2 linked regions of the Caenorhabditis elegans genome follow. The protein of the gene in region 1 interacts with the protein of each later gene in a biochemical or structural test. Each region holds a gene or a part of one and is shown on either strand. Other genes may lie near its edges.

Region 1 (6,869 bases):
CTTCTCGATTAGTTCAGAAAAAAAAGAGTTTCAGAAAATAAAACATCGACCATTTTCAATTTTCTGAGTTTCCAAAGTTCAATGATCAATAGTTCATTAGTTACAGACATGGGTGCGCGGTAATCGGAAATTTTGGTAATTGCCGAAATTGCCGATTTTCATTCAAGGATTAAATCATGCCGAGCTTGAAAAGAGAAAATTGTCCATTAAAATTCATGTTGAGTTTCGTAAATCTACAAAAAGTATCGAATTTATATTTCCGGCGATTCTGAATTTCAGCAATCGGCAATTTCGGCAATTGCTGGGTTTCAAAATCTCCGGCAATTGGCAACTTTGGCAATTGTCGGTTTTGTGAATTTTCGGCAATAAGCAATTGCCGTGCACCCTGTTTACAGAGTTAACACGATTTCAAAGTTAGAAATTTGCTGGTTGCCGACTACTCGAAATAAAGAATATCAAAACTTTCATCCATTTGACAGACATTTTCTGAAAATTGTTATAAGTTCATCGATAATGATATAATAATAATAATAATAATATAATTAACTTGAAAACATATTTTATTAACCAATCATCTTATTTATTTCATAGAAACACATGCAGCACAGTCAGGTGAGGGATGGAAAAACGGGGGAACGGAATCGGGGAGAAAAAAGTTGTTGGCAAGAAAATGACCGCTCTCCAAATTATTTACTGGTACCACGACGCGACGTCTTCAGCAGCAGGTGCCACGTGGAATGATGATCGCTTTCCAAAACGGAGAGGTCCAGATGGTCCACGTCGTTTTCCGAATCGAAGTGGTCCCTGGGGTCCGCCTTTCTTTACGTCTGAAAATTTAGCATAAAGTGGTCACCAAACATAAAAAAATTGGTAGGTTAAAAAGCAATCAAACCGTTTGAGATATAAAAAAGTTTTAACTGAAAATAGATAGAAAACTTATTTGTTATAAATGTTTTTAAAAGTATTAATTTTCAAAATGGTATTCTCACTTGAATTCAGCGATAAAATGTATTTCTGAACATTTTTTGAAATGCTGATATCTTTTTAGAAACTTAAGAGATCGAAAAGTTTTGAATAAACAAATGTTTTAAAACTTTGTGATTTTCATTTTTTAAGTTAACAATTCAAAAGCTTACAATTGGAAAAGTAGTCCAAATCAACAGCCACTGGGATTGTTCCGACCGAATTGTCGTCGTAATCTGCAATTTTAGAATGCTTGTTTTTTTTTTGAAATTTTGGTTCATTTGAAAGTCATAGTTTGAGCTTTTAATTACTACTTATTAGTTTTTAATTCCCATTGTTCCAATCTTGGAAATATCAAATTCCTTCTGAATCCTTTCAAGTTTATTTATAAAGTGACGTTTTTTTTTTCTCATTTTCCACTTTCTAAATATTTGTTTAAAATTCACAAAAATTCTCACATGAAACCCACTTCCGACACACGTACATATCATTTTTCCATAAATAATTCGAATGGACGCCGTGTGAAACTTTTGGCACAATTTTTTTGTTTTGTCTTCTGGTAATTTGAGATGCATTTTGTGCCAAAATTTTGAAATTTCTACACTCTGTTTAAAAATTTCAATTGAAAAAATGAAAATTTGCTGGAAAATCAATCAGACAATTTTTGACAAAAGCTTTGGTAAACTTTCGACAATTCCGGCAGTTTAGTAGTACTTTTTTGGGAAAGAATCTCAAAATTTTGAATGTTGCCCCGTTTGACCTCAGCACCCAAAAAAAGAAAAATCTCCCCCAACTTTTTTTTTCATAAAATATTCAATCTTTTATCACTCATCTCAAACATCTACCCCCTCATCTGCATAAACGTGATGCTCTCGAAAAAAAACGAAGAATTTGTCAAGTTTTCATTATCAAAGTGAGAGAAAAGAACAAAAGAATAAATTAGACAAGGAAGCTCGTTTTGTTTGACTAGCTGAGTTTTTGGAATTTTTAGGTAACGGGTTTGTGTGACGAACTTTTTTTTGAAAGTATAAATAATTCTTAACCAACTTCAATAGTTTATCAAACTATTGTCAACTGAAATTTTTTTGCAATTCTCTCTAATGTTTTCTCTCTAATTTTGTAGTCTGCTGCTATGCCTATTTTATCTTGCTTCGGTATAAATGTTTAACGGTGGAGTACCGAAATCCGAGACTTTGTTTTTTAGATCCAAAATGACCCAAAACTACCGAATTTCGTATGAAACGTTTTAAACATTTTTCAAAAAAGTTATAACGAGTTCAAAGTTCTGGAAAAAAGGCTCATTTTCTGCTAAAATCAAACATTTTTGCCATCTTCTCGCTGTCGCAGCGTCTGGAACTCAATTTTGGAATAAACAAATGACATATTAGTTTAAAATTAAAAAAAAATTAATTGCTACACTTGCAATTCTAAAAAAATTTGAACAATATAAAATCGTGTTGTTAATTAAATTTTCTTGGGAAAATTAATCGCATTTCAAAATACTGATAATATTGAAATCTGTGGTCTAAAAAACTAATTTTTGGTCAATCATCGACGTCTGATAATTTTAGTACCAAAAGGCAAAAATTTTGTCCAGTAACCTCAAATTGTGTCAAAAGAATTTCGTGATCAGTGAAAATAATTAACTTTTAAATGTTAACTTTTGAAATTAGCCGCTTGCGTTTTAAATTGTTAAAATTAAAATCCCCAGCCCATTTTCAAATACACAACCATCATCATTCCTAAAGGTTTCCAAAATAAAGCGAGCCCCATGTGTTGCTCATTGGTTTCAAACTTTCAAACTAATCGCCTGACGACCCCCAGTGGACGTGCACCGCCAATAAAACCTTACCAAAGTTAGACCCTGGAGTGTGGAAATGAATGAAAATCGATGCAAATGGCTCCTCTTTATGGTTGATACATGTGTACATATTATGACAAAACAAGAAGAAGAAGAAGACACTACTATGTAGACGGGCGTGGGTGGTGACAAATTTGGAAGTTTTAGTGGGAAGTTTTAATCCCTTACACCTTAGACTAGAGACATTTTGATTTTGAAATAGGAATTATAAAATTTTTATCTACGGTTCTTTGGCAACTTGTAAATCTCAAATAATTTGAATTTTGTCTTAAAAATAGTTGTTGCACGAAATTCGGCAATAATACTTTTCAAAATTACCGATATTCTATAAAAAATGAAAACAATTTTTGAAAAATTATAAGAATTTTGAAATTTGCCCAAACTCTTGATCAATCATCAAATCCTCACAAAAAAATTCGGCAGCTTTTAAAATAATGTCTTTAAAAATTTGGCAATTTTTGGAATATTCCTAAAACTCTTGACTAATTTTCGCTAGCTCTTCGGCTTTTCATGAACTTTTGGCAAATTTTTGAAACTTTTAAACAGTTTTTGATGTTTTTTTTTGCAAATTTCGACGCTTTTGGAAAAACTATCAGCTTCCGGCACTATTTCAAGCTGTCGAAAATGTTTTGCGACTTTCAAAATCAATTTCATCATCGTTTACAACCGATTTAAACATTTTAACGATCTTTTGCACTTTTCCACTTACAAATCTAAAAACTTCAGTTTTCTGACTTCTAAACCCTTACCTTTTCACTTCCGGAGCCCAGTGATCCGTAAAGTCAGAATTTTTCCAAAAATTTTACTACTAAACTACACAAGCGGAGGAGTAAGGGAGGGGATTGTTGAATGACAAATGGGAAAAGAACAAAGAAAGTGGAATTAGGAAATGACAAGAAATGATGGAGGAATGGATCAAAACTGACAGGGTTACGGTAGGGTGATGTCATCGAAATTTTGAAATTATATATTTATAATTTTAGAGCTGTCAAAAATTTGTTACCAGTTACAATGTAACTGGTAACAAATAACTTGTAAAAATGTTTTTTATTGCTTTATTAGACTCAAAATTGTCTGACAACACCCGAATTTCATAATGAAACTTCATGAAAACTTCTCAAAAAAATAGTTATACGGCTCAAAAAAGGGCCTAATATTAGTCAAAATTTGAAATTTGACGGAATTGTCAATGTCGCAGCGGCTGATAACATTGTTTTAAATCACCGCCAAATTTTGAGTATATGAGTATATGTAATTATTTTGCCTTTTCAACTCGATTTAGTTATTTTAAAGTCGATGGACCAAAAGATTTTAAACATTTTTACCAAATTTCTTCGTCTATTGGCTTACTAAATCGAGTTGATAACGCATGATAACTAAATTTTATACCCAAAATTTGACGGTAATTTCAAAACAGTTTTTAGACCATTTTTTGAGCCGTCATAACTTTTTTTTCGAGAAGTTTTTAAGAAGTCTGCGTTTTCAGACAATTTTGAGGGTAGTAAAGCAATTTTAAAAAATCTGGCAAGTTATAGTGAATTTTTTGGTCGATTTATTATCAATTTGTTTTAAATGTTTTTCTTGTTTTTGCTCCAGTCTCACCAAAGTAAAAACTTGACAGTTAATTTTTTTGTTATAATCCCCCGTTACATTTGGGTGTTGCTAAAAAATTTCCATACTTCTTTGATTTATTATCTACAATCTGACTGACTAAAGTTCAACTTGACTTAAATGGCGAGCTCTGTTTTGAGTAAACCGCCAATTTGCCTGTCAGAATGTCGAAATGATGTAAACTTTTGAAACTAAATATCAAGTTTGCTGGAAATCGGATCACGAGGATATGTATCATAAGTTTTTGAATTCGTCACTCGGAGAATACATTTTTTAAAACTTATTTATTCAGCCATTATGCTTCTCAAACCTGCAGTTATAACTAAAGCTGGTCAACTCACCCAAACATGTATAAAACTCCGTAAAAAACCTAATCTTTTTGATTTTTCGTATTGTATAGAATCCGTATCGTATTTTCAGTTTGCAAATCTAGCCAACAACTCTTACCTGCAAGTGTAGCAATTGCCAAAACCGCAAAAACTGCAACTCGAATAAGCGTGGAGAACTGCATGACGAGGTGTATGTGGGAGACCTTCTTCCAAAAAATGAGCCGAAAGCTCTTGCGAAAGCGCACACGAGCAGATAGGGCGGGATCTGAGCTCCGCCCTTTGCGCAGCTCTGTAGTTATTGATGAGCAGTCAGAAACTTGATATTTTTTGAAATGAAAATTTTGAAATTGGGGAAAAGGTACCACTTTTCAACAAAACCTGACACCACTTTTGAAGTTTGCTCCGAATTCAGGAGTTTGGCACATATATAAGTGACCAAAAAAGTTCAACGCTTAAAATACTATTCTATATATTTTTCAGATTAATTTTGCAGATAATATCAAAAAATTTGAAAAAAAATGGATTCCGGTGATACCAACTGACAATATAAAAATTTGAAGTAGCGGGGCAGACTGAATTCAGTAGATATGACACAAAATACTAAATTTTGCAAAGAACGAGTTTTGAGTGGTTATTTCAGCTTTAGGAACACTTCCTGTAAACTACTATTAATTTTTATTTGACTTATAACAACCGAGAAAGTGTTCAAAAATTGTCCGAATGTGGAAAACTGGCGTCAATTTTTCGGCAATTTTCAACATTCAGACGATTTTTGAAGATTTTTCCAATATTTTTTACTGAAATAACAGTTATTTTCAAGTAATGCAAATATTTTCTATATTGTACCATTAAATTTTAACGAATAATATCGGGGGAACATTCCCAACCGTCTCATTTTGTAGAATTCCCGCGCACCCCTGATTGGCACTCTAATTCACAACCCCTTTCTAACGAGAACTTCGAATTTAAAAAAACCCAACTATAGCCTTTGTTTTTAAAAAAAATTTATGTTCATAACTTTCAGATTATATTAAAAACGATAACTTCAAAGTTTCAGAACCATGAAACAGGCGTGACCTAGCGTACAGTACCCCTTATTGGACCGCCGCATCCCCAAAAACTTCAGAGCGGCAATAATTACACCTGGTAATTATTACACCAGTTGTTGTCACTTGAAAATGGTGTCGTGTTACTGTAGCCCCGTGTGTATCCATAATTCGGTCATATTTCAAACGAAACCGGCACAATATTGCAGAGAGACAATTGACTTTTATGTATGCAATTAACGGAACTAACAAAGTGGAAATGGTATTTCTGTAGTTTGTTGAGATGAGAAGTTGAGGGGAAAAACTTGGAACCTTTTTTTAAATACATTTTTAAGTATCAACTTAAATAAAATTGAGCAAAATTATATTTCGAAATTTGAAAGTTTTACAAAATTTTGATAATAACTCAATCCTCAATGGCTTTTTTTTTGAAACAGAATTGAGATATTGGCAGAATTCAAGACACCGTTTAAAATTTTCCGCGTTATATTGGATAGATTTTCGGAATTCAAGATTTCGGGAAAAAATTTAAAATTCTGCCCGCCGAATTAATTCAGCGAGTGTTTTTTTTCGGTGTTTAAAATTCCGTTTTCTTCATTTTTTTTTCAATGATATATTTTTATTGTAGTTTGAAAATTTTGATAATTGAAAAATATCCTAACCTAGTAACAAGTTGTAACAACAGACGCCTCGTAGGTTTCAAAATTAAACCTGCAATATAGGCGATTTTCAACATTCAGATTCAATATTCAACATTCAACAGCTTCCGTGATATTGCTATTTGAAAAATTATCAACTGGCAAAATGAAAAAGTATTTGTAAACCTATATAGCAACCGATGAAAATTACTAGCCAACATTGTTGTACATTTTAGTAGTCGAAAACTTTTCAAAACACTTCTGAAAAACGTTAGCCAACAGGTTTGGGAGCTATAACTTTTTACAGCGTCGATTTACAAAAAAGTTGTAAGCTAACATTTTGAGCCAGTTTTTTGCATTCAGTTAGTTATTGCAATATTTTTCAACTCACTTGTAAAAGAACTTATACCAGCCGACATCT
Region 2 (5,603 bases), on another chromosome or scaffold:
CCAACTTCTACGACTCCAGCCTCATCATTAACACCAAGTAATGCGTTGACACCTGGAAATGAGGATAAGAAGAAGATGACGACGGATTCGGAGGAAATTGAGCTTCACGAAAAGAAGAAGTAGAAAGAAGAAGAAGATTGCTTCGAACTTTTTTTGAGTATTTGCCTTTTTCTAGTATAAATCTTTGGTAGTTTGTAACAAAAGTTGTATTCACTGAATTAGGAATGGAAATGGGCATTAGAGGTGTGCAGCAAAACGTTTGGACAAATTATAATATTGCCGGTTACGGTTATCTACATTAGACATTTCCAGCGAGGCGTGACGGGGGCACCCAGTGCATCAAATATTAATCTAGAAGAGTTTGAAATTATAGAAAAAATCCGATTAATTCGGAATTAATTTTCCTTTTTTTTGAAATTGTCAACAAGAATGTGAAAAACAAGCTGAAAGTTGTATTTTGTCGAAATCATTTTAACAGGTTTTTTTGGCAAATGACAATTTTCAGAGACTACTTGTTTGTCAAACAATATTTTTTAGAACAAATACAATTTATTAAAGCTTTTTATCTAACAACCCGGTAGAATCATCACAGATTAGTTTCTAAAATTGTTAATCAGTTCGTTTATAAAAGTTGATCTCCAGCTCGATAGTCGTTTTCAGCAATTGTGATTTTTGTCTTTGTCGATGCAATTTCTGTTTCTTTTCGGATCTGAAGTTGAATTTACATATACTTTATTTTTTTAAGCAAACGAACCTCGGAGAAATTAGTCGGATACGAAACCATTTTACTGGTAGATTGTGGTTTCTTCTTGATCAATCTAGCTTCATCAGTACCCTTGAACAAAGTGGTGATACTTTGTCGGAATTGAGGATTGAACCAGGAATAGATGATTGGGTTGAGCACAGCGGAGCACATTGCGCATACGTGGCAAAGCGCAAAGACTGTAGAATACCATTTAGAAATTCCAAATAGGTCACGGTAGAGATTGACTGCATTGAATGGCATCCACGCGAGAACGAATCCAACAACCATTACGATCATCATTCTGAAATTAGAAAAATAATTTGAAGAAATTCCTGGAATTCTCCAGATTTTGTTTCTTTTGGAAAAATGATCATACATAGTCACCATCATAATCATCAGTCATGCATACTGCAGTGAATACAAAAAAAGAATGTAGTCTCTTTTGTTTGTTTTATTTTTTTTTGCTTCGTATTTTATTTCCCTTAGGAGTTCCTGGTTTTTGTCAAATTATGCAAGGTTTGACATGCTAATACAAATGACTATTTGTGTCTTTTGCAACGGGGTACAAAATTTGCAACAAAAAATAACAGAGAGAGCTTAATAATTCAGGTTTGGGGATTGCAGAAACGTGCCGATTCGAATGTTGAAAATGTATTCAATTGATGCAGAATTAATAATATATTACAAACGAATTAAAATCAGATCATCTAAAAATTATGAAAACTTCGTTAAAAAAATTGGGTCGAGTAGGGTTTTGGGAAATTTTTGAGTAAATTTGTTTGGATGGTAACACGGAATTTTTGAAGTGAATCAACTCTTTTTTTTCTTGAGAAACTGAATTGCACAAATCTTTCAAGGAAAAATTTCTTAAGTTTTGGAATTTTGTCCATTTTCTGACAAATGATTCACTTTAAAATTTATAATTTTTTCTTAAAAAAAAAAGAAAGTTTTGGAAAACAAACCGATTAGCTCTTGTCTTTCGATTCACCAGCTTTGTTTCAGATTCCGGTCGAATATTGTGCCCTCTTCTTCTTGCTAATTGATCTGACATCACTCGACTAATCATCCAGTAACAAATTGAACTTATCAATGCAGGAATACCAAATTGAAGTACCAACACAGAAAGTCCATAAGCTCTTCGAATTCCCGATCTTCCAGTATCCGGATTGAAATCAGGCCTGAAAATGTGATTAACGTTTTTTAAAGAACAGAAGAGCAAGAAAACATATATGAAAATAATTGGGATAATTATGGGAAGTGAAAAAGAAATAATGCAAGATAATTGGTCAAATCAATGAGACAAATGACGCACCAATTCTCTTCACAGAATGTGCCGCAAATTTCGTCGTATACTGCAATGTCGCTGTAGATGCCTACAGGAAGTGCTAGAGAGTATCCGAGAAGCCAAATGCAGAAAACAATGAAGACAGCTCTCGGGAAATTTACTATCTGCAATTTAAAAATTTAGACAAATTATATAGATTATTAAATTAAAAATTTTATTTTAAACGCAATTTTTAAATTAAAATCAAATTGTATCAAGGGTATTTAGATCGCCATGAAAAGGATGTTATCATGTTAGAGAATCACCTTTCTTCAAGCTTACGCCCCGGTCGGCCTGGTATAAGGCTTTTAACGGGTAGGCGTAGGTCGCCTTGAAGACAGGAAGGTAGGTTAACACAGTTTCCCGATTGAAAAAACGACTACAAAACGGGAAAGTTGAAGTCCTTGATTGTCCAAGGATCAAAATAAAATGACCAGTCTAATTATTTTTCCCGCCTTTCAGAAGATCATATTCTGAAGAAGAACAAGTTTCCATTAATATTGTACTTAAACACACAAAGAAATACATAGAAGATTTTTACTTGGAAGACATTCTCGACAATAATACATGGAAAAAATAATGAAAAGAGGCATAGAAAAAGAAGGCTCCAAACCACATCAATTTTTATCTGCTCAGAAAAGTTTACTGCAGAACTTCTGGACTGTTTTTTGGGGAGAGCCTACCTCCTGATTTGGACGTAGAATTAGTACACATCTGTCCAGAGCAATAACTGTTAATGTGAATGATGAGACAAAAATCGTACCGCCCTGAAAAGTTTCTGATTTTAATTCAAATTTCTGTTCGCTCCTGTTATTCTGATTAATACACAGTATTTCAGAGTCTAGACATTTATTTATAAATCCTGAAAATCTTATACAAATCTCACCTGGAAAACTCCGATCAACTTGCAAAATATAGCAGGAAATACCCAAACTCTTGAAAATATAGAAATCGCGGTAATTGGCAACGAGAAAAGGCACATTAGAAGGTCTGAACCAGCTAGACATCCAACAAATACCGTCCTAACTGACAGTGATACCTGAAGTTGGCAAATTAGCTTAATGAACTCTTTTCGGGCACTTTGAGCTCAATGACGAATTCTGGAGGTGGTTCGGTAATTGTACTTTCAATCATGTATGAAAGATTCTTGATTCACTAGGAAATTCGATGAATAAAATACCGGAAATTTGAGATGATGGTAGTATCAAAAACAATTTTTTTGAATTGAATGCGAGAAGAGAGATACGGAAGATTTTAATGAAGCCTAAGAACTTTCAAAACTGAAAGTTGAAGTCCTCAAAAATCCTCTTAAAAGGGGGAACCGCTCGTATTTTTTGAAAAAAAAAATTCTATGTAGTATTCTGATTGTTTCAAAAAAAAAATTCCGGAATGGTACAAATTTTAATTTAAAATTTTTTTTTAGAAATTATAACCAAGGTTTTTCAACAAAATAACACTTTTTCTCATATAAACTCGAGAACAAAGTCGATTTTTCTCAACAAAAAATACCTGATTAAAAGTGAGTACATAAAGTACTAGAGTGTTGCCAACAATAGCTCCAACCCAAACAAGAAGGTACAGTAACGAGAATATTGCTCTTATCTGGTTCATATCATTGTATTCAGGTTGCCACTGTTGTACTGTCATTACACAGTTTCGACCACCCTCCATTTTGATTTCTGTAAATATTTAAAATTTTTAAATTAAAATTTTCAAAAATTCCAGAAGAGGAGAACAAAAATATATAGCCAAGTCGTTGGGGTGAAATGAGAGATTGGAGAAAAAACAGGAAACGAATATTAATGAGGATTCATTGAGATTGACAAGGAAATTGGGTCACTAATATGATCAGAAGAAAATTTTGAAAAGAAAAAAAACCATCATAAAATGGAAATTTCAAAATTTTCAGCACGGGGAACTCCGCAACGACACCCTACCGTTGTAGCTCCCACTCCGTATTGTTAATAAATTTGAAAACATTTTCAAGGTTTTCATACACTCGATTCCACTTAAATTCACAGAGTACCCTAGTTAGAGCTGACAACAAAATTCACAAATTCATGGAGCCGATTTGAAAGAAAATACACCATTTTAAACATTAATGTCAGCGAGCCTTCTCTCTTAGAAATAGCAGTTACGTATTAAATATGAAAAATTATGTTCAATTTTGATGCGATTTCCGGAAGGCACACAAGGATTCTGAGATCGCAATATTTAAGTCGTGAGTTTTCAAAAATAATATAGCTTAAAAATTCAAGAAAACTCTTAAAAATAGCCTATTATCTGAAGAACACGGAAAAACAAGGATCCTCCAACTAAACAAAAACATAGAACCTAGAAATTATAAAAATGATGTCTAGAAAAATGTGACATCTATAATCAATGTCTTCTCCGAAAAGAAAGTGAAAATGACTCATAACTAGAAATTTTCGCCGAACAAGATCAAGCCTGATGCATAATGCAACTCCTCCTGCTTCCTTCCTTTAAAAGGCGGAGCCTGAAGCAGCTTCAGCTTTCAAGGCTTAAACGTGTGTTTCTTCTTTTTCTTCGTTCACCCCTAGCGGTTATTACTGGAAACACGAAGAAATTATTGTGAATGAGGAAGGGAGGCGGGAGTCTGTGGGGGAGTGAGGAAAAGAAGAAGGAAAAAATGGCAGGGTGCAAACTAATTTCCATTTTTCCGACCGACTTATTTTCTTTACTAATAATTGACAAAAACGACAACACGTGTTGCATAACATATGAGACAAGTAGGTTGTTTCAATTACACAAACGGACCTTTTCTTCTTGCTCCTTCCACTTCAATTGACTTCTTTTTCTGTGACAAGTCGAAAATGATAAAAAAGTACTACTACAAAAATGGGAGTTTTTCATTGAAAGGGAGTTTATCAAAATTACAGTACTCTTTTATGAATCGGAAAATAAAGATTTCCTGCAGAGACACAAACTTAAAAAAGATGTACGGTAAGAGTTCAAGAATCTTTATAATTTATGATGTTTTCAGAGTGAGTACAAGCCTATGTTATTTTCAGAAGCACAAATTTGCATAGGCAATGAAGAAAAAGGCCTTTTGAAGGGTGGTTTCGAAAATAGAGGCAACATTATTTCGGAATTTATAGATGCTAAGGAAATCCAAAGCAATGTCGCATGTTCCAACCCCTACAATGTTTTGATACAAATAATTAAAACAAAATTACAGTATAAAAAATGTAGGAAAACCATTTTTTGGTCGACTTCCAAATTTATGAGTGCCAAAAACTGAGTAATTGTCACTTTTTGACAGAAATAAAAACATTTAAAAATATTTTTGAAAATTTTTATTAGTATTTTATTAATCGGCCATTTTGATACCATAGGAGTAGTTTATAACACTTTCCCCACTGGCGCTACTTTACTTTTAAACAATGTGAATTAAATAAATATTTTTCGAAAAAGCAAGACTAATATAAGGCACTTCAACAATAAATTATAAATTTTAAGTTTAATAAATTATCAGAAAATCGGAAACACAAATTTACCAAATAAACAATTGAA

What was found.
Region 2: of the proteins of flp-15 (region 1) and npr-3, one has a biochemical effect on the other in vitro, tested with the Caenorhabditis elegans proteins (3 studies listed by BioGRID, with this or other methods).

The regions. Positions count from the first base shown.
Region 1 is NC_003281.10:13,662,858-13,669,726, forward strand, and holds flp-15 (FMRF-Like Peptide), read right to left. Parts: upstream 4,983-6,869; 5' UTR 4,947-4,982; coding exon 4,883-4,946; intron 1,200-4,882; coding exon 1,137-1,199; intron 828-1,136; coding exon 691-827; 3' UTR 543-690; downstream 1-542.
Region 2 is NC_003282.8:11,458,129-11,463,731, reverse strand, and holds npr-3 (Neuropeptide receptor 3), read right to left. Parts: upstream 3,749-5,603; 5' UTR 3,741-3,748; coding exon 3,579-3,740; intron 3,109-3,578; coding exon 2,956-3,108; intron 2,837-2,955; coding exon 2,753-2,836; intron 2,195-2,752; coding exon 2,058-2,194; intron 1,924-2,057; coding exon 1,708-1,923; intron 1,047-1,707; coding exon 755-1,046; intron 710-754; coding exon 623-709; 3' UTR 533-622; downstream 1-532. Other genes in the region: C10C6.3 (PH-15 domain-containing protein), read left to right, coding at 1-123. UniProt on the Caenorhabditis elegans protein: G-protein coupled receptor for flp-15 neuropeptides. Receptor activation assays suggest binding to predicted flp-15 peptides, GGPQGPLRF-NH2 and RGPSGPLRF-NH2. Likely involved in Gi/Go-coupled signaling pathways.